Linked DNA regions of Rattus norvegicus. The protein of the gene in region 1 purifies or fractionates together with the protein of each later gene. This does not show direct contact. Links are inferred from orthologs where the notes say so. Each region holds a gene or a part of one and is shown in the gene's direction. Other genes may lie near its edges.

Region 1 (5,028 bases):
TGGCTCGGTGTTCCAGCTGCCGCATACGCTCTTAAACTTAGTTCGTCACAAGAAAGAACACACAATAGCCTTTGATCTAATCAATAAGATATAATTGCCCACCTAAACATACAAAGCCCTGTACACATCCATCCCTCAAGGACATTCATAACAACCTGTAGATGTGCAGAGTGGAACCTTGGGAGAGGAAAGGATTACAGGTGGTTCAGACTTCCAGGTCACAGTCCAGAAGTGAGGTCAGAAGCTCAATCATAAAACCACACAGGAATGACCCACAACATAGCATTTTATCACCATCCCATTGGCAAAATAACTGACTTACTGATACGGATCTAAGGACGTAAGCATCCACATTTATCTTAGTTCAATTATATAAAATATTATTTGGCTACTAAAGCTGGGCCTGTGCATCAGCTCTGACCAGCAGTTACGTTCCTGACGGCAGCGACACTTGGAAACAGGCAGAACGAGTATTTCTTAAGCTTCCTGAACCAGGTCAGAGGGCAGACACCATGGACTCGTGTCAGCAAGAGCTGCAGATGAGTCTGATGCATCCTGGACGCTCACTCGCCAAGCGTTCACCCACTTGTCGTAGGTGCTTATCTGTAATAATTAACCACCTTTTGATTTAAAGGACCCAAGCTTGCGAAAGTCTAGTTGGTCTCCACCAAGGGAAGTGCTCCAGTTGTGGATTGTTCATTTATGCTGCCCTGCAATCAAAATGAATGAGCCTGTCGCATACACGCATTGATGTCAGAAGCATTTTTATTGATATTTTTATATTTGATAGAAAAAATGCAAAGGAATTTACAAAATGAGTGCCTTTGCATCAGTACACAGAAATACACACTATAATGTGCTGTTTACGTGTATTGGGGAAATGATAGTAGACACATTTCAGATTTTTTTGGTAACAGTTCCTTGTGAGCAAGAAATAATCAAACATCATGAATTTAATTTTGTCTCTAATGTTTTCTTTCTTATTTTAAGGAGCTTTAGATAGATAGAAGAAAAAAATGACAAGACATTGGGATTTATTAATTTGAGTTTTGAGTACATTGGTATTTATTTACATTATTTTCATTTTGTAGCTGTGAAACATTATTTAAGAGATTCTTGCTAGCTATACCAACCTATTTACCATCACACTGAGTTAATCAATAGAAACATGATACTGTCTTTCTTGAGCAAGACAAGCGGTTTGGTGCATCTGGAAGAGGTCTCTAAAGCAGACCAGCTCCTCCACACGAGTTTGAAAACTGTGACGTGTTTTCTCCTTTGAAGTTCAGTCCATGTAGAGAAATCGAATCCGAGCTGCTACTTCAGCTTTTCCTCATGCTTACGCCTGTTCACTTCAAGGACGATCTGAGGCTGCAGATGGAAGCCCAGCGCCTGTGCCTTTTTGTGGTTTATTCAACTCATGCGGATCAGGTTCGTGCATATATGGAGAAGGAGAGAGAGGAAGCTCTTTGCAGCCTTAAAGATGAGCTCGTTTCCGCTCAACAGAAAAAGATCGACGAGCTTCATAAGATACACCAGTGCCAGCTCCAGCATGTTAAAGTACAGGAGACAGGTAACCAGCCTCTGACTAATGTCCACGAAACACATAAGCGTCCCTTAAAGTATCATTTGGTAATCCTGGCCTTGTCTCCGGCCCCGTGGGGTAAGGGGCTCTCCATCTGATTCCCGGATTTGTTTATTCATGTCACTGAGGTGCCCGGGACAGCAAAGCTCACTGCCTCATTTCCTCATGGAAATAAAGCCATTCAGAAAGTGCCCAGAAACGGACTGTGAACGGAGCCGTGCTAAACCATACTGGAGGAAGCACCAGTGGAGAGAGATTGGCTGTGTGTCTAGGGCATGCGTTTATCATTGGCTGGACTATTTCCTGAAGTATCCCAGACTGACAAGTAGCCCAGATCACTCCAGGGTGAATACACAGCATGGGAGGAAGAGGGAGAGGCGATGAGTGTTCTGTAACGGTGGAGCAGAGCAGTTGGGTTGGGAACTGTGGGGCGTTTCTGAAATGTTAAGTATAGACCTGCAGAGAGAGACCCATTTTGGAGAACTGAAAGTTCAAGTTGTTTAAGAAAGTAGTGAGGGATAAGCTGAAGCGAGTGGCCAGTGCCTGATTAGAAGACCCATATACCTCGGAGGAGGAGGCTTAAACTTCCTGCTACGGCTTTTAAGTAGAGGAGGCAACAGTGATATTTTTATTTACGAGGACACCCATGTGCTTAATTGGGAAAAATTAAGTAATTGATGGGCAGATCAGTTAAACAACCTTAGCTATAGCCAATAAATGTTGAGACCGGAAACAAAATGACAGTGAAACTTAACAGTCGGAGCTAAATGCTGTCACTGTCAATTTATAGCAGCAGCAAAGGTGGGAGGAGTTGAGAATATTTCTGACTTCTCTTGCCTATGTGGTTTCAGTCACAAAGAGGAGCAGACCATAGACAATATAGTCAGTTTAGAATACTCCGAGTATATATGTTAACTTGGAAAAGAAATAGTCACTAATCACTAATCAGCTAAAAGGAGTGGGCCAAAACCCAGGGGAGACTTTTAGGCTAAAAAAAAAAAAAAATACAGTCTGTGTGGAGCTGAAAGACCAGAGTCCCTAAGGCCAGAAGTAGAGTGAGATGCCCTGGAGACTGGAGGGTAAGCAGAAAGCCTTGGTGGCACCGTGGGAAGGACACTGAAGAGACCACAGTGGAAGGCAGAACCTGTTAGGGGGCAGCTGTTGTTGAGGATTTGTAATTTTCTACTCTGGCTTCCTGTCCTTTAGCCACTGTTGGCTCCCATATTTACCATTAGGAATGAGGTCCTTAAGTCTCCGGTGGAATTGCGCTGTTGAACAAAGTTAAGATTTCAAGAGTCACTTAAAGAAGGATGGCAGTTTTTCGTTTCCAGAGTTTTCTTTTTGTTTTTGTTTTTTAATGCAGTAAGATTTTGCATGCATTGTTTGTATGTTTGTATTGATACCTCTTCAGATAGCCTGTCTAGTGTTTTCTGTTGACAGTCGAGTGTTCTATTACTAGGTGATAAAGCAGTTTAGTGAGTGGTGATTAGTGTTTCTGAAAAGAGAAGAGAACAGAAAATATATATATTTAATAATTAATTAATGAATTTAATTTTGCAGTGCTAGGGCTGAGACCCAAGGCTTGCACATACTAGTCAGAGTACCCACTACCCTCCCACTGAACTCTGCTCCTGCACAAAAAGATAGCAGCTCGTTTGTGAGAGCTGTGAGGTTTGCAAGGATGCATTTAATGGATAAGTATACAGATATATTTCTTGGGTTGGAATGTAGAATCCTGAATGTATAAACCCTTTTATAGAATAGAAATTGCAAATCTTAGAAATTTATCTGAGACAGTTACATTGCACATTTGGAAGAAATTGAAATGTGTCTTATTTTAGGGAAGCTTCTAGTCTTATTCTAGGGACGCTTCGGTGATAGCATTAAAATATGACAGCATTACTCGCATATGTGCAGCAAATAGCTCACGTGTGGTGTTTTCTGCTAGGTAACGAGCCTTTACAGGTGCTCATTGAACGGCTTCAAAAGGCAGTGTCTGAGAAATGCTTTCACATCTCAAAGGTAAGATGTTACTTTAAAAGAGGCTTTGGATGAGAGTTACCAAAATCAACATTGCTACTGATTTAATGAACAGAATAATCCACTCATGTTTGCCCAAATCTCTTGCGTCTAGAACTGTACTTACCAAGTATTCCTGAGTTTTGAGCTTAAAGGAGCATTTGACTTTTTTCTGATAGCCAGTTTGGAACAATAGGACATTAGAGCTATGGATGTGACTCGGACCCAGCGCTTGCCTGTTGTGTTTGAGGTCTTGAGTTGGGTTTCTGGCACCACAAAAAGGAACAAAGAAATTGAGATAAGTTGTGTCTCCAATAGTGCAGACTCTATAATCATTGTTCTTGTCAGAGAGTTACTATTTAACCTTCCAAGCAAACAGTTTGTTCATTAAAACTTTACCTTTGTGGCTGTGCTGAAGTAGCAGTATGCCAGTTATTGACTGCGTGCTTAACTTTGAAACATGCAAGAAATGGCAGCAGCTTTAAAAGTTGGCTTTTAAGTCTTTTAAATCTTTGGTGGTTATTTCCAGTTGAGTGAGAAACAAAGGTAAAACTAAATCGGACAGCTTGTCAGGTCATAGAACATGAAATGGCGTCTTACATGATGGAATTTTCAGTTTCTCTGGGGAACATGGTGCTGGATACTTTTAACGTTGTGTGTGTGTGTGCAGACTACAGAAAATACTCTGGCATATTATTGAAAGGACATTAGTATAACCTCCTCCTTGATGGATTTTCATTTTGGTAGGTTTGACAGACCTCTCAAATCGTCATCTTTGAACTTTCTCTCCTTGCGATGTTCAAGATAGTTGACATAGTAATGAGATATTTTTATGGCAGAGCAATCACATCAGAGTGGGAACTATGTGAGGGAGTGATGGCTTACTCTTCATTGTATATTTCAACATTAAAAGAGAACAGAAAAATCCATAATATTTTGTATAATTAAGATTATCCATATTTTCCTGATAAAAGAATAATTTCATGCCAAAGAGAATGTTTTTCCTGTAGATTGATTTCATATATGGAGGGAGAGGGAATTCAGAATCCATTCATACAATTTCGAACTTCTTTTGCATTTAGGTTAATGTTTTCTAATACTTAGGAGAAGAAATTAAAATTTTAATTTAAAATATTCAATTTTGTTAACAGACCCTAAACAATGTTTTCGATGAATGTTATACTCCTTTAAAATGTGAAATGAATATAGAAGAGAAAGAGAATTCTGGTGTTTACACTTCTCAAAATCAAAGCCCAGAATTACGAGAGTATAGATACGAAGTCCAAGGTAAAAGCTTACTGTGCTGTAAACAGTATTTACTTTGCTTAAGTCAACTGCTTATAAACTTAACTTTAATCACAACTTAATTAAGACAAGTTTTCTTAGCATCTTTTTTTTAGCTATGGAATTTATATTTAGTGTAT
Region 2 (5,028 bases), on another chromosome or scaffold:
TTAGACATGGCATGGTAACCCCAAAATTTGGGAAGAGGGCAGGGTGGCTTTCTGTGAACTTAAGGCCAGCCTGGTCTACATAGTGAGATCTTGTCTCAAAGGAAAGAAAGAAGTAAGAGTTGACTTTCATGGGACTGGAGAGATCACTCAGTGGTTAAGAGCTCTAGCTGTGGGGTTGGGGATTTAGCTCAGTGGTAGAGCGCTTGCCTAGCAAGCGCAAGGCCCTGGGTTCGGTCCCCAGCTCCGAAAAAAAAAAAAAAAAAAAAGGAAAGAAAAAAAAGAAAAAAATAAAAAAAGGAGCTCTATCTGTTCTTCCAGAGAACTTGGATTTATTTCCTAACACCCATAAGTAAGTTTTTACATTGAATCTCTAGTTCCAGGGGAACCAACATCATCTTCTGGATTTCTTGGACACATGGTACACAGAGATGTGTAGGGAAAACATCCACACACATAAATAATTTTTTAAAAGTTTAGCTCTCATAATATAGATATTCTCATAAATCTTTGAATACTCAGGGCGGACATGTATATTGCTAAACATTGGAGCCTTAAAATGCATTCATCTACTAGGGTTTCTTGGAATTGCTGAACATTTGAACTTGAGTTGGTTATGTGAAGCCCTGAGCCAGTTCAGTGGGTTCAGGATATGTACTTGGCTAGGGTCATTAGCCTCTGTTCATGAGATTTTTTTTTTTTTTAAGTTAATTACATGTGTCATGGGTGTTTGCCTCGTGTGTGCCCAGTGCCCTTGAAGGTCAAAAGATGCATCGAATCTCCTGGAACTGGAGTTAGAGGTGGTTTTTAGCCACCACCATATGGATACTGGAAACCAAACTGGGTCCTCTGTAAGAGCAAGTGTCTGTGACCATTGAGCAGTCTCTCCATCTAATGAGGTGTTAAAAGAGCCATGGATATTTAATAATTGTGGTTTCTCGTCCTCTCCAGCCAACACCTCTCCTAGACCCGTCTCTGGCATGGAACGAGAACGGAAAGTGAGTATGCGGCTGCACCGTGGGGCCCCAGTCAACGTCTCCTCATCTGATCTCACGGGCCGACAAGATACCTCTCGCATGTCCACCTCACAGGTATGCATGTAGAACTCACTGAGGCCTAGCTGCGCCAGACCCAAGTGTGGGGATGCATGTCCTTGTCACTGTGTGCTGACACCGGCTCTCCCTACCTTTCTTAAGAACTGACCTTTATAGGTTCATAGTCAGGAGTGGGGCAACATTTGTGAAAAATGTATTTCCTTTCTTCCTCCTACTTTTTTTCTTATTTTTATGGATGCTTAACCCATTGGAGCCTGCGACTTACTGGGTTTCTAAAGGGTTTGTTTCCTGGCTAGGACTGTAATGATTGGCTGTGAACTGTGTGTGAAGCTTTTCCTCTTACGCTCATTTCAGAGGGACATCCCTATCCCTGCCCCGCCGCCTTCCCCACCAGGGAAGACAAAATATGCCTGCTTGCTTGTACCTTTTGACGAGGAGATGTCTGTCATTGGCACACCTGGCTTTTATAACTACTTGTGTTTGCTAGCCAGGCTCTCCTTAGCAGAATACCAGGAAAGGCACTGGCTGCATAAGAAGGGTTCTTGTGAGCGATCGTTAGAGGTGCCAAGCTATAAAGTGTCATCTTCTGTTGACCTGTCTGTCTCTAATGAAGTACGCAGGCAAGGTAGGGTAGTTGGAGCTAGTTCCCAGTCCTCTTTCTCATAGATACTCCTTCATCTACATCTGAGTCCTCTTCCTCTCTGCTTTTGCTGCTTTTACATTCAACACTGCTTTGTTCAACAGACTAGAATAACTTCTGTCAACATTACACTTCTTTTTCTGAAGTAGGGTCTCCCACTTACGGGGCTAGGTGGGGTCAAGGATGAATTTGAGGAGGTTTTTGCCAGTACCACTGCCCTTCTAGAGCTTGTTTTGAAGCGCACTTGTATGGCAACACCTCTCTGGTTCACTGTGGGACCTAGTACAGTGTTTGCGTGGGGAAGGACTGAGCATGTATTGATTGAGTCAATGCAAGATCCCTGGGGCTTTCTGGGCTCAGGCCACACTGGGGACTGTACTGGTAAAAGGTGTTCCTGTGCGTTCCTTATTTGCCAGAAATTTCTGGGTTTGTATAATTTTCTCCTGAAAAGACAACAGATGTAGGAAGTTTGACAAGAGATCACTTAAGTTCTAGGCCTTGAGTTTTGACATCAGGAGATTGAGTTCCTCAGTGTGTACCATACCCTCTTAAGCTCGGCTTCCTTGTGGAAGACTTAACAGTTTGTTTTTCTTTGGTTTGGGTTTTTTTGTTTGTTTGTTTTGTTTTTGTTTGGGTTTTTTTGTTTTGTTTTTCACACAAATCCTTGTGTTTACATTAGGAAGTGGTTCAATTCTGCCTGTTCATCTACAACCTGTGGTGTGTTGGGTCCTGGCTGGGTTTGGACATATTTCATGCCAGCAGCTAGATAGAGGCTAAGGAAGTGATGGCAGGGATGGGCTCTTTTGCTTTTAATTCAGTATGAAAATGAAACATCTGTTAGTTTGGGATCCAGGAGGAAAATGGAAGAATCAGGTTTTGTGGATACCAAGAAGACATGGGATACAGCCCAGCTTCTTCCTGCCAAGGCTATGGCTTCCTTGGCCTTATGGTATCAGAATAGCACTTCCTTCCACATGATGAGTCTCTGATTGCTTGGTCTCTCATGTTTATGCATGGAGAACTATTAACAGGCTTTAACATGGTTGGGAGGCTCCCTTCCCGGAGTTTCTTAATTTCTCCTTGGCTGTGTTGGGGATTTTCTAGACTGTGACTCACACTCTGCCTTGTGTGGTTGTCTCTAGGGTGCTCATTTGTCTTCATAGCTGCACCTTTGGGGGAGTTGTGCTGTCACTAAAAGGCAACTACCCTTAAGAGGATCCTTGTTGTTACACAGTACCACCAGCATCAGTGTGCTCTTACTATATACGATGTGTTCTCTTCTCCAAATAATTCATCCCTCTCTAAACTCTTTTCTAGGCCCTCAGCCAGGCTTCTGTTCTGGCCTTTTAGAAATTAAAGGCTAGTTGGGGTTAGGCAGGCCAGTATTAACTTCTCCCTAGAGAGCAGGGGTTCAGGTAGGAGTGATGGCGTCACTTAGCACAGTGAACTCTAGCGAGCACCGTGCATATAAGCTCTTGTCACAACAGCACATACCTTTCACTCGGCCTCCTTACCTACAGCTGCTGGTTTTCTAATAGTTGGTGCATCCTATGAGATAACATGACACCCACAAGTCCATACACTTGGTTAAAGCCAGTCTTGACAAGCATCTGCTGCTCTTGTCCACCACCTCATGATGCTGACAAGGCATGGTACAGGTCACTGGAGTCACCGCTTCTTTCCTGTAGAACCCTGCCCTCACACTCACTGCCTGTAAGCAGCTGGGCTTCTTCAGCATCTTCCTTTCCCTGAAGGGCCCTGCATTGGGCAAGTCTTCTCGGGAGACCATGTTCCCATTTTCCCTGATATCTGTGAGTTTGCTCTCATTAGACAAAAGAACATAGGCTTTGCAGGGCATCTGATGAGTGCATCTCTATTGTTTTTCCTTCATTGAAAAGAAAGGTTTCCAGTCTAGCACAGTTCAAAATATGCCAGTTACTGCTTTTGATGCCTTACTTAGTACACACCTGCCCCAAAATAAGGTTCTAAGATCAGCCTGGTACTCTGTTAGGAGGGAGTGTATCCCTGGGTGCATCCTGGGAGGTGCTATCCCTTCCACCTGCTGCGTAGTGCTGTGAAACCAATCTATAGGGCTTCCTCAGCCTCGCCGTCCACTGGATTTCAGCTTTTCTAAAGGATGACATTAGGAAACAGCAGTGGTCACTTTTATCAAGGGTCATGAGAGACAGATGAGTTGTGCACTGTGTGGTGAGACTTGCCATTAGCTGGCGTCCCCAGAGTGTCTGTTCGTGTCTTGACTTGGTCAAGGCAAGGGACACATCAGGACTTGGGCTCAATACAAGAAGCCAGGGGACCAGGATCTCATGTGCTGGTGTGGCCAACAGGACACTTACCAACAGCTGTCTTTTCCCCCACCTCAGAATAGCATTCCTTTCGAACACCACGGCAAGTAGCTGCTCGTCTCCATCGGAAGGCAGCACTGGGTGAGTGTGCTCATGGTGGGGCTCTGCAAGTAGCAGGTGCCAGGCAAGGTGGGAGCAACTCCCCACCTGTCATCTGGGCTCGCTGGTGGGCTGGGCTTGCATGCCAAATGCTGGAGGTAGAGTGAGGCTTCTTCTGCTTGTTTTTCTTTGTGTGGGTTATGGAGTAGCAATGGTGAGCTACCCAGTCTGGGGATCAGTGGCATCCTTAGAATCTCTGGACTGAGTGACCTTAGAGAACCATCCTGCTGTGCCTTTGTCCTCTGGCCTCCTGTGATTATATTTAGTATGCTGGAACTGCCCTCAGTCCTGGCTCTGGCAGATGTGCTGGTAGCACATGTGTCTGTTGTACTCAGCTGAGTGGTCCATGCTTGGTGTTGGGCTTTCTTGAGCTCTTGCTACATGCAGACCCGGTGGTCTGTGCCCATCCTGGCTTTTTCAGTCATCCCTCTTCCTCTTTCATTTATCTCTGTCCTCATTTTGTGTTTCTTTCCAAACTTGGTACCTGCCCAGCCATCTTGTCCATGCAGCTGTTGTCTGTATTAATCCAGCCACAGCCACCTGCTACCCTGCCGTCAGTGCATGGCTGGGTGTCCACGCTGAGCTCCTCTCTTGTTGGCCACATGGTATTTGGTGGTTCCTTCCATCAGGGGCTTGAGCTTTGGTGGGGGTTGTGCTGCTGGGAGATCTGCTCTGTTTAACACATGTGTGCACTCTTGGAAGTGTGTCGATAAGAATTTTTCCGTCTTCCCTAAGGGGTATGCCTGTTCTTTCTAGGAAGGGAGGCTGGGAGCAAGTGTCGCTGCTCCACTTGGATCTACAGGAGCACAGCTCTGCAGTTTCCTTGCTTGCATGCCACTTCTTCCCCAACTTCTGTCCTGGCTACAGAGGCCGT
Region 3 (5,028 bases), on another chromosome or scaffold:
AGTATATTATTCAGGGTACTCTTTTTCTGATATTGTTCAATATAATCCTAACAAACAAATACTGCTGTTTCTTCTCCTGAGTGGTGTTCTTGCTACTTTGCAAGTAAAATTCTGGAGGGTCAGAGTGGCCCATTAATTTGCTAAAGTAGGGTTATTTAAAACACAGTAGCAGAGCCAGTGGCAGAGAACAGGTCTTTTGATTTTAAGGAAGAGATTTTTCAGGCCTAGATAGATGTCTCAGTGGATAAGAACACCCACTTACAAAGGAAACTCTTTCCTGACCTGCATGCGTACCTCCAGGCATGTGATACATAGACAAGCAGGCACATAATTGTACACAGAGAAGTGCACAGTCGAAAGGTGAGCTCATAGAAGGAAAATTAGTCCTGAGTAGGGAAGGACAAATAGTGATTGAGGAGACAGTGCATGCAAAAGCATGGAACTGTGAAACAGTATGATGTGGGCAGAAGGGTCTGGTGACTTTGGGGGGGACACACACTGGATGATGTATGTAGCAGTGTTGCTTCCAACATGAGAAAGAGGATGGATTGAGTGGTAAAATAGTATGCTAGTCAGCTTTCTAGAACATGATAACATTTCTAAGGCTATTAACTTGAAAGAACAAAGTATTTTGGTTCATAGGTCCAATCCATGACTGCCTGGACTTGTCACTCTGAGCCTTTGGTGACGGATAATATCATGGTGGGGGCATGTGATAAAGTATAGCTGTTCACCTTATAGTGTCTATGAACCATTTAGGAACCAGGGTTTTGGTGATAGGGTCTTAAGGTCCTCTTTAGTGATGATTTTCTTCTACAAGGCCCCACCTCCTAAACACAGCCCAATTTTCCAGTAGTTCTATAAACCAGGCTTTTAATATACAGACTTTGGGGACATTTAAGATTCAGAATTCAACTGTGGGAAACTCTAGAGTTAAAAAGTTGATTGCATCAAAGGAGTCACTGACAAAGATTAGTATTTGATTTTCAGATTCTGAAATCTGCCCACCTGATGACCTTGCCTTATTACCAGCATGCAAAGAGAACCTTGAAGACTTCTTAGGCCCACCCTCCATAGCCACTTACCTGGATTCCAAGAGTCAGCTCTCTGTTAAAGTCAGTGTGGTTGGAACTGACCAGTCTGAGAATATCAATCTCCCTGATGATACAGAAGCCTTAAAACAGAAAATCCATGACTTGCAAACTGAGCTGGAAGGCTACCGGAACATCATTGTCCAGCTACAGAAGCATTCTCAGTGCAGTGAGGCTATTATTACAGTTTTGTGTGGGACAGAAGGGGCCCAAGATGGCCTGAACAAGCCTAAGGGCCACATCGATGAAGAAGAGATGACATTTTCAAGTTTGCACCAAGTAAGATATGTGAAGCACATGAAAATCCTCCGTCCACTAACCCCAGAAATAATTGATGGCAAGATGCTAGAGAGCCTCAAGCAGCAGCTGGTAGAACAGGAGCAGGAGCTACAGAAGGAGCAGGATTTGAACTTGGAACTTTTCGGTGAAATCCATAACCTGCAGAACAAGTTCCGAGACCTCTCGCCATCAAGGTACATCCTATTCCTGCTTCAGCCCGCCTCATTAGGCTTGTAGGTTTCCTAGGTTGTTGCTAGGTAGAAGCCCAGAAGCTGCTGAAGGAATGGTGCTCCATGGGTGGATAGTGTACCCTGGGGACAACTCGCCGGGCTTCAGGCAGCCGGGATCAGAGTGAAAGGCTAGGCTGCACAGCATTACTCTGTCCATATGCGCATTAGGGGCTGGCCAGCTTCTGAGATGGGCAGGACAGATGTTGCCCTGCTTGGGCTGAGGACTCAGCATAGAACTCCACGGCAATCAGTCAGGGATTGCAGTGTGTTTACTGAGCTGCCTGCCGTGTTTATTTTTGAACTCTATTATTGGCTTTTGCCATGTTGTGGAAATAAAATGGATGTCCTAAGCAGGTTAGGAGGAATATAAATGCTTTCCATATCTTTACCCTTTAAGGTCATTTTAGAGAAATAAGCCTGTGTTGAAAGCAAGAAATTCTTGGGTCATGAAGATAATGCTTTATGGTTATAAATATGTACATTGGCTTCATGAGATACGGCAAAAAAATGGGATAGTCTGTAAATTTGACCTTCATTCGTTACTAATTTGAGAAAAGCACTGTTCTGAATTGTCAAGAGCTAGAATGATTTTTTTTTCAAGGCTACCCAAGCAGCAAGACTGAGGGAAAGTTATTTATTGATGGGCTGTTGTATCAGCCCCCAGGCTCGGAAGTGTTTGTTTCATTTTGTTTTGAGATGGAGTTTCACCACGTAGTTCAAGCTGCCCTCAAATTCATAATCTTTCTGCCTCTGCCTCCTAAGTGCTGGGATTGCAAGCATGAACCACCCCACTGGGAAGGAACTGACTATTTAACTCCAGACACACTGAGCAGGAGCATTCTCAACTTGTTTTTGTTAGACAGAGAAACTGAGACTCAAAAGATTTCTGTGACTTGCCCATGGTCAGAGCCACTGCCAGGGTTCAAGCCCATACTGTTCCCTACCTAAGATGGCTGTCATGTGATTTGCTTGTAGGTTATTGGTATTAACAGTGGTCATGGTGAACAGAAGTGCCTGTCAGGCCACTCTAGATCCAGCTTGCTGTTTGCTTTTCCTCCTTGATTTGCTCTTAACAACTCCTGGGACTGCATAGAGAAGAGTGGCACCTGGTGGTGAGGGGGCAGTATTGTATAATAAATCTTCACAAGCTGTGTGTTTAAGAAGCAAAGCTTTACCTCTAAATACCTTTGAGAAATATTTCCTTTTCCTTTTCCTTTTTTTTTTTTTTTTTTAATGAATCCATTTGTTAGAAGCCTGGGAGAACCAGATGACCTAAGATAACTTGTTCCCATGATGGGACCTAGTCAGTCAGTAAGGTGGTAGCCGGGAGTCCGACTCTCTCAGTTGGAGGCAAGCAGCCCTATTTTTTTACCCTTGGTATATACATATTTGTACTTGGTGAGAATTTTCAGTGGGTCCCTGACCCTTGTGGCAATTGTTTCTACAACTCAGAATAGTGTCTTTGAAGAGTGTATGGAAACTAATTGTTCTCCTGAGTCCTTGCCAATCTATGCTTTAATTGGGGGCTTTCTACGGTTACAAATATTGCAGCAGAATCTCTGTTTAAGCATTTGTTGGCTGTTTGAACTCAAAGAAGGAGTGACCTTGTACAGTTTCAATTTTTCTAAAGTATATATGCTTGTACAGCTGCGGGCTTCCAGAAATTATGCTCTGTCATTTTTCCAATTAGTGTTAAGGTCACAAAAATTCAATTCTAAAATGACACACACATTTTCCTTCCCTCTTTTATCAGATACGATTCATTGGTTCAGTCCCAAGCAAGGGAGCTCTCTCTTCAGCGGCAGCAAATTAAGGATAGTCATGATATCTGTGTCGTTTGCCATCAACACATGAGCACCATGATCAAGGCATTTGAGGAACTTCTGCAGGCCAGTGATGTGGACAGTTGTGTGGCTGAGGGCTTCCGCGAGCAGCTAACACAGTGTGCTGGACTGCTAGAGCAACTGGAGAAGCTGTTTCTCCATGGTAAGTAGGTAGAGGCACTCAGTGTGACTCTCTGTGACTTCTTCAGTGGACACCAGGAGATTTGACTCCTTGCCTTTGCTGTACATACTGACCTGGCTGTTCTGCCATTAAGCCCAAACAGCCTTCTTTCTCATAGTCTTTGCACTTTGCTTCTCTTGTTTCTCCTTGCTTTTCCCAGCCACCCATTGGGTAAGAACTGGACAGGACATTTGTAAGACAGCAGTAGTCCTGTCACTCATTGACATCACTGTCCCATTCTCCTGCTCCCTTTTTCTCTGTTCTCATAGGGAGAAAGTGAGTGAGTAGATCCAGTTTTATGGTGTGGAAGAATGTGGTCTGTGAGAGAAAGTACCTTATCTGTGATCATGTTGGGAATGAATGGTCATGCTGGGGTTTTACAACTGATCTCTTAGCATAAGTCTGTTCCCTCTAGATCTATTTGTGTTCTTGATGTTGTAGACATTATTTGGTTGAAGCATCACAGTGCCCTTAAAATTGGACAATAACTCAGTGTCATAGTCACTGTCCTATTGCTATGAAGAGACACCATGACCAAGGCAGCTCATATGGAAAACAAAAAACATGTATTTGGAGTTTGCTTACAGTTTCAGAGGTTTAGTCCATTGTCATCATGGTGGGGAAGATGGCAGAATACAGACAATAGCTGAGAACTACATCATGATTTATAGGGAGTAGGGAGCATGACATTGGCCTTGCATGGGCTTTTGAAACCTCCAACACCAGTGACACATTTCCTTCAACACGTCCACACCTTTTAATCCTTATAATGCACTCAAATAGTGCCACTTCTTGGGGGCTAAGTATTCAAATCTATGAGCCTCTGGGAGCCATTCTGATTCAAACCACCACACTTGGTTTTGTTAGGTCTTGGCTTTGTGAGTGACATGTGGTTCTCATGACCAAGTACTTCTGATCAGATGTGTTAATGGTAAATTGAGGCTAAACCGTAAGAACTCTGCTTTTACAGGTTAGGAACCTGGCCTTACCTGAGGAAGTAGTTTCCCACAGACACAGGGCACTTGGTAATGCCAGGTTTAACTACTCTTCTGCCTCCGTACACAGAGAACAGGTAGTTCACCTTGGTCCCAGAATGCACAGTTTAATTCCAGGATAAACACAGGGTAGTTCACCCATCTGGTAGCCATTAGTGGTTTTCCTAAAGACCTTGTAGACTGGTTTCCTGGCATTTGTCCTTAAGAGCTTTGAGACCAGCATATTGGCACACTAGCCTATTTGCAGCTTTATCAAGGCTGTTCTCTCTGGCTCATGTGTTCTAAATAAGCTTGCTCTCACTTACTAGTGCAGAAGTAACTGGATGGCAGACAGATAAAACTGGATTGACCAAGCCCATAATGTTTTGTTGTGTTTTCTTTAGACAGCCCTGGTCGTGGCCAGGGAGGTAAGGGGAGAGTGCCTGTCGC
Region 4 (4,951 bases), on another chromosome or scaffold:
TCAGGGTGTTAGAGGCAGGACGATCAGGAATTTGAGACCAGCTTAGGCTGCTTTGAAAGCTGCTCTGTCAGCTACCACCTTCAAAACAGAATCCAGAATGGCAGTCTCTGTGCCACTGTGAGGCTCTCCTGTGTCAGAAGGGGCAGCCTTTTCTTTTCTGTCTCTATCGTTCTGATGCTGGCTGTTCATGGGGTGCGGTTTTCCTGCTGCTTTGTGATTCCTTTTCTCAAAAGCTCCCAGCCCTTCCATATTCCTGCAGCTACCCTGTGACTGCCCTCCGAGCTGCTAACAGCCCATGTTTGACTTCCCCCTTTCTCCTCATTTGTCTCTGGGCAACTGCTGAGAGCCACAGCTCGCTCGCGCTCTCTCTCTCTCTCTCTCTCTCTCTCTCTCTCTCTCTCTCTCTCTCACACACACACACACACACAGAGAGAGAGAGAGACAGAGAGAGACAGAGAGACAGGGTTTCCTCTTTTAAATTCTACAAATTGCCGTCTTTCTATAAACTTGAGCTTTGCCTCTTACAAACACAAGTCAACAAGAACTGTAGTCCTTGATGACCAAACCTGTGAGGTGTTCAGGGTTGGTTTTGTTGTTGTTTGTTTTGTTTTATGTAACATTGGCTGGCCATGTAGACCAGGTTGGCCTAGAACTCATAGACCTCTGGGGTGCTTGGGCTCAAGGTATACATACGACGCTGTCTTGCCCTGCAGGGTGGTTTTGTGTTGACAATTGTTTGTACCCTGATGACTTTCTTCCAAAACTCTGATTGGCAGACAAAATTCCCTAAACCACTTTCTTAAGTAAGTTAACTCCTCAGCAGACAAAATTTCCTTAAACCACTTTCTTTCCTCAGCAAGGCACCTGTCCCTTTCAGCCTTCTAGTCCAAATCTAGGATAGAATTATTCAGCTCAGAATGGGGCAGGCAGGGGGAATTGATTTTTGTTGTTTCATTCGACACAGGGTCTCACTTTGTATTCTGGGCTGGCTTGGAACCTGATGTAGCCCAGGCTAGCCTCAGATATGCTAATGCTTCTGCCTCTGCCTCTCAGAGTGCTATAGTGACAGATATGTGCCGCCATGTCAGGCTCCCCAGTTTTTACAATAGAGTTTGGGTGTCTGTCACGCTGTCCTTGAAATCTTGGGCACACGAAGTCCCCCTACCTCAGCCTCCCACATAACTGGGACAACTGGTATGTGGCATTTCTAGCCTTTAGTCTACATTTTGATTAGCTAGACATGGGGTATCTTGCTCTGTGGGCACACAGAGGGGATGTGGTCATGTTCACCCACACATCCCCTCCCGGCTTGTCCCACCAGTGAGCCCCACGCCCGTTTCTACGCGGCGCAGATCGTCTTGACTTTTGAGTATCTGCACTCCCTGGACCTCATCTACCGGGACCTGAAGCCCGAGAACCTTCTCATCGACCAGCAGGGCTATATTCAGGTACCTGCGGGGGAGGGCACTGGAGGGCACAGTTGGAACCTGCAGCCCTTCTCTCTGCCAACTGCTCATTCTTGTGCCTACAGGTGACAGACTTCGGTTTTGCCAAGCGTGTGAAAGGCCGAACTTGGACCTTGTGTGGGACCCCCGAGTACTTGGCCCCCGAGATTATCCTGAGCAAAGTAGGCACCTCTCCAGCCTGCCCACCCCTGAGGCCTACTCCACCTCATTAGCCCGCCCTGCCCCTGAAGAGTCATCTCCTTCTTCACCTTCTTGCCTCATCGAACGCCCCCCCCCCCCCATCTTGCTCTAGGGCTACAACAAAGCTGTGGACTGGTGGGCTCTCGGGGTCCTCATCTACGAGATGGCTGCTGGTTACCCGCCCTTCTTCGCTGACCAGCCTATCCAGATCTATGAGAAAATCGTCTCTGGGAAGGTGAGGCCAGGAGATGGAGTTCATCCCTGGAAGGAATCAAAACAGCCTGTCACATGTCCTCACAAGGCAAAATGTGCTGTCACAGACCTGTTGTCTTAACAGTCGAGCCTGAGGCAGGAAAATCTTGTTTGAGGCCAATCTGGGCTGCATAGAGATTTCCAGGATAACATGGGCTAAAGAAATAGTGAAACAGAAAATCAAGGACAGGGGTATATGACTCAGCCATAGAGCACTCGCCCGGAGTCTATCGTGAAGGGGACAGGGGTGTGGCTCAGCGGGAGAGTTGTAGTCTAGCATGTGTGTAACACACACACACACACACACACACACACACACACACACACACACACACACGAACGACAGGACTGAACTCCCAAGCATGTCCCAAGCTGACCCACATCAGAGCTCTGGCTACAGAAGCTGCTACCTTGACACCAGACCAGAAGAACAAACCAAACTCATTCAGTTCCCAGGTGTCGACCCCAGCCATACCAGCAAGCCTCACCCTGCTGTGGGCAGGACCTGCAACTGCCTATTCCTTCCAGATGTAGTCTCCTTAGTGACCCTGGCATGACAGTGTAGACTTAAACGTTCTGCACTCTTCAGAAGTCCGAGGCAGAGGATTGGCATAAGTGCCAGACCAACCTGGCACAGGGCCTACAGGGTAAAACCTTGTCCATGACAAAGACAGAGCCCAAGACCGGACCTTTCAGGAGGCCCATTCCTGTCCTCACCATTCATTAGCCCTGGCTCACCCTCTAGCCTTATCCTGAAGAAATGGCACCCCTGTAGGAGAGGTAAGGATACTAAGGTACAGAAAGGGCATGTGGTTGGTCTAAGATTGCACCATGGGAATCAAGTGGAAGCCTCAGTGGGGTTGGGGAGCAGCGCTGAGAGTCACAGCTCTGCCTTCACCAGCCTTACCTAGCAGGGGAGCCCGGCTGTCACCCCACCTGTTTTATTGTCTTTGACAACAGCTACTGGCTGGCTCCAAGTCTCCATAAGTGGTTCACTGCTCCCCAAGTCCCAATCCTGTGACAAACTATTGGGTGAAACTGAGACAAAGTCACTTAGATTCTCTGAACCTCATTTTATCTATCCATCTGCCTGTCTGGGAGGTTGGAGGAGAGACAGTATTCTATGCTGTGGTCCTCGGGGCTGAGCACACACTATCACCTAGGAGTGGATGTGCACACCTCCCATGAGACAGAAGAAAGACAGCCATGTGCTTTTCTTCTTTTTTCTCTTTTCTTTTTTCTGTCTTGTTTTTGTTTTTTGTGTTTTGCTTTTTTTTTTTTTTTAAATCAGGTTCTTACTTTGTAGCCCTAGGTAGTCTAGATTTTACTAAGTATGCCAGCAAACTCACAGAGATCTGCTTGCCTTTGCCTCTGCTGGGATTAAATGAGCCTTAGTAAGTGCTTTTCCCCCTAGCATTCAGAAGACTGAGGCAGGATTGCTGTAAGGTTAGGGAAACAAATTTTGGGACCTGTTACAGAATATCATTCAGAAGAAACCCAAAATGAAAAGTTGAAATGTCCTAGATGGTGGCTGAGAGAGTACAGAAAAACTCCATAGAAGACTGAGGAAGACGGGAGGACATTTTGTTGTATTGAAATCGGACTCCCAATTCCATACATAGTCAAGGTTACCCTTGAACTCTGGGTGCCGCCACTGCCTCCCAAGTCCTGGGTGGACAGGCATGCGCCACCACACATGGTTGAGTATAATCTCCATTGTAGCAATTTACAGTTCCCACGGGCCCTGACTGTTATCTTGTCACACAGAACCCTGGGATATCTGCCCCATGTCATTGAGACCAGTGCAGGCCTGGAGAGGTTAAGGGCTCTGGCCAAGGTCACACAGCACCGGGAAGGCTTAACAGGGACCAGTTGGGTTCTTGTCTTTGTTTCTTTCCTTCCTTTTGCTTTTCTTGCAAGTCTCCATTCCCTTTCCTCATTTCTTCCTTCCTTGTTCTTTTCTTCCTCACCCTGGGTTCTTGTTCCCTTCAGTTTTTTACATCTCTTCATTGTGTTTGTGGCACTGAGACTGGCTGTGTGTGTCAAGGACAGCGTAAAGGAGTCAGTCCTCTCCTCCTGCCATGTGGGATGTGGGTGGCAAACTTAGATAGATTATTAGGCTCAGCAACAGGTACCTTTACCTGCTGAGCCACCGCTAGCCCTTTTGTGGGTGTTTGTTTGATTAACTGACTGACTGACTGATTGACTTACAAGGTCTCAATATGTAGCGCTGGAACTCAACCTTCCTGCATTAGTCTTCCAAGAGTGGGAGCGACAGGGTTTGCCACCACCTCTGCCTCCTAGAAGCTAGTTCTTATGGGTGTAAATCCAGAGGCTGCATACAGGGCTAAGGGCCTCTGGAGGTGCACGACTGGATGGATACAAGCTATCTTATCCAGACTGAGGAACTATCCTTACTTTAGAAGCTCTCAGACCCCACTCAGAGGCCTGCAGAATCCCAGCTGAGGGTACATTTCAAGTCTACAGACCTGAGACAGAACCTCCCACAGTTCTGTTCCCTGTGACCTTGGGGTTGTAGATTCTCAGGCCTTACCCAGAATTCCCAAGCCAGCAAACTCAGGAAGACACTCAACATGGTTTTTGTTTGCATGGCCACTGGGGCCTAAAAGTGGAGGCCTGTGTATGCTGGGCTCCTGACCTGGCCCAGAGCTGTAGTGCTAGCTCCACCAAGCCATCTCTGCTGATAGTTTCCCTACTTTATTTTTTTAGTTTTTGTTTTGTTTTGTTTTTGTTGTTTTTGTTTTTGTTTTTGTTTTTCGGAGATGGGGACTGAACCCAGGGCCTTGCGCTTGCTAGGCAAGCGCTCTACCACTGAGCTAAATCCCCAACCCCACCCTACTTTATTTTTTAACTATGTAACTTTGTGTGTTTTTTAACTTTGTGTGTCTGTATGTACGTGACATGAGTACAGGACCCCTGGAGGCCAAAGGCATTAGATCCCCTAGAAATGGACTTAACAGTGGTTAGAGGCCAACATGTAGATGCTGGGAATGAAACCCGGGACCTTTGCAAGAACAAAGCCATTCATTGGT

The links.
Region 2: the proteins of Akap9 (region 1) and Csnk1d purify together in Homo sapiens (affinity purification with mass spectrometry; 4 studies listed by BioGRID and IntAct, counting the BioPlex papers as one, with this or other methods). This does not show direct contact. The link is inferred for Rattus norvegicus from reciprocal best matches to the Homo sapiens genes AKAP9 and CSNK1D.
Region 3: the proteins of Akap9 (region 1) and Cdk5rap2 purify together in Homo sapiens (affinity purification with western blotting; 4 studies listed by BioGRID and IntAct, with this or other methods). This does not show direct contact. The link is inferred for Rattus norvegicus from reciprocal best matches to the Homo sapiens genes AKAP9 and CDK5RAP2.
Region 4: the proteins of Akap9 (region 1) and Prkaca purify together in Homo sapiens (affinity purification with mass spectrometry; 7 studies listed by BioGRID and IntAct, with this or other methods). This does not show direct contact. The link is inferred for Rattus norvegicus from reciprocal best matches to the Homo sapiens genes AKAP9 and PRKACA.

What each region holds. Positions count from the first base shown.
Region 1 is NC_086022.1:31,108,825-31,113,852, reverse strand, and holds part of Akap9 (A-kinase anchor protein 9), read left to right. Parts: intron 1-1,284; coding exon of another isoform or gene 1,285-1,359; coding exon 1,360-1,573; intron 1,574-3,533; coding exon 3,534-3,607; intron 3,608-4,755; coding exon 4,756-4,891; intron 4,892-5,028. UniProt on the Homo sapiens protein: Scaffolding protein that assembles several protein kinases and phosphatases on the centrosome and Golgi apparatus. Required to maintain the integrity of the Golgi apparatus. Required for microtubule nucleation at the cis-side of the Golgi apparatus.
Region 2 is NC_086028.1:106,726,236-106,731,263, reverse strand, and holds part of Csnk1d (casein kinase I isoform delta), read left to right. Parts: exon of another isoform or gene 1-948; coding exon 949-1,088; exon of another isoform or gene 1,089-4,073; coding exon 4,074-4,106; 3' UTR 4,107-4,136; exon of another isoform or gene 4,137-5,028. UniProt on the Homo sapiens protein: Essential serine/threonine-protein kinase that regulates diverse cellular growth and survival processes including Wnt signaling, DNA repair and circadian rhythms. It can phosphorylate a large number of proteins.
Region 3 is NC_086023.1:88,846,052-88,851,079, reverse strand, and holds part of Cdk5rap2 (CDK5 regulatory subunit-associated protein 2), read left to right. Parts: intron 1-990; coding exon 991-1,564; intron 1,565-3,353; coding exon 3,354-3,586; intron 3,587-5,028. UniProt on the Homo sapiens protein: Potential regulator of CDK5 activity via its interaction with CDK5R1. Negative regulator of centriole disengagement (licensing) which maintains centriole engagement and cohesion. Involved in regulation of mitotic spindle orientation.
Region 4 is NC_086037.1:41,062,308-41,067,258, reverse strand, and holds part of Prkaca (cAMP-dependent protein kinase catalytic subunit alpha), read left to right. Parts: intron 1-1,321; coding exon 1,322-1,448; intron 1,449-1,531; coding exon 1,532-1,627; intron 1,628-1,758; coding exon 1,759-1,881; intron 1,882-4,951.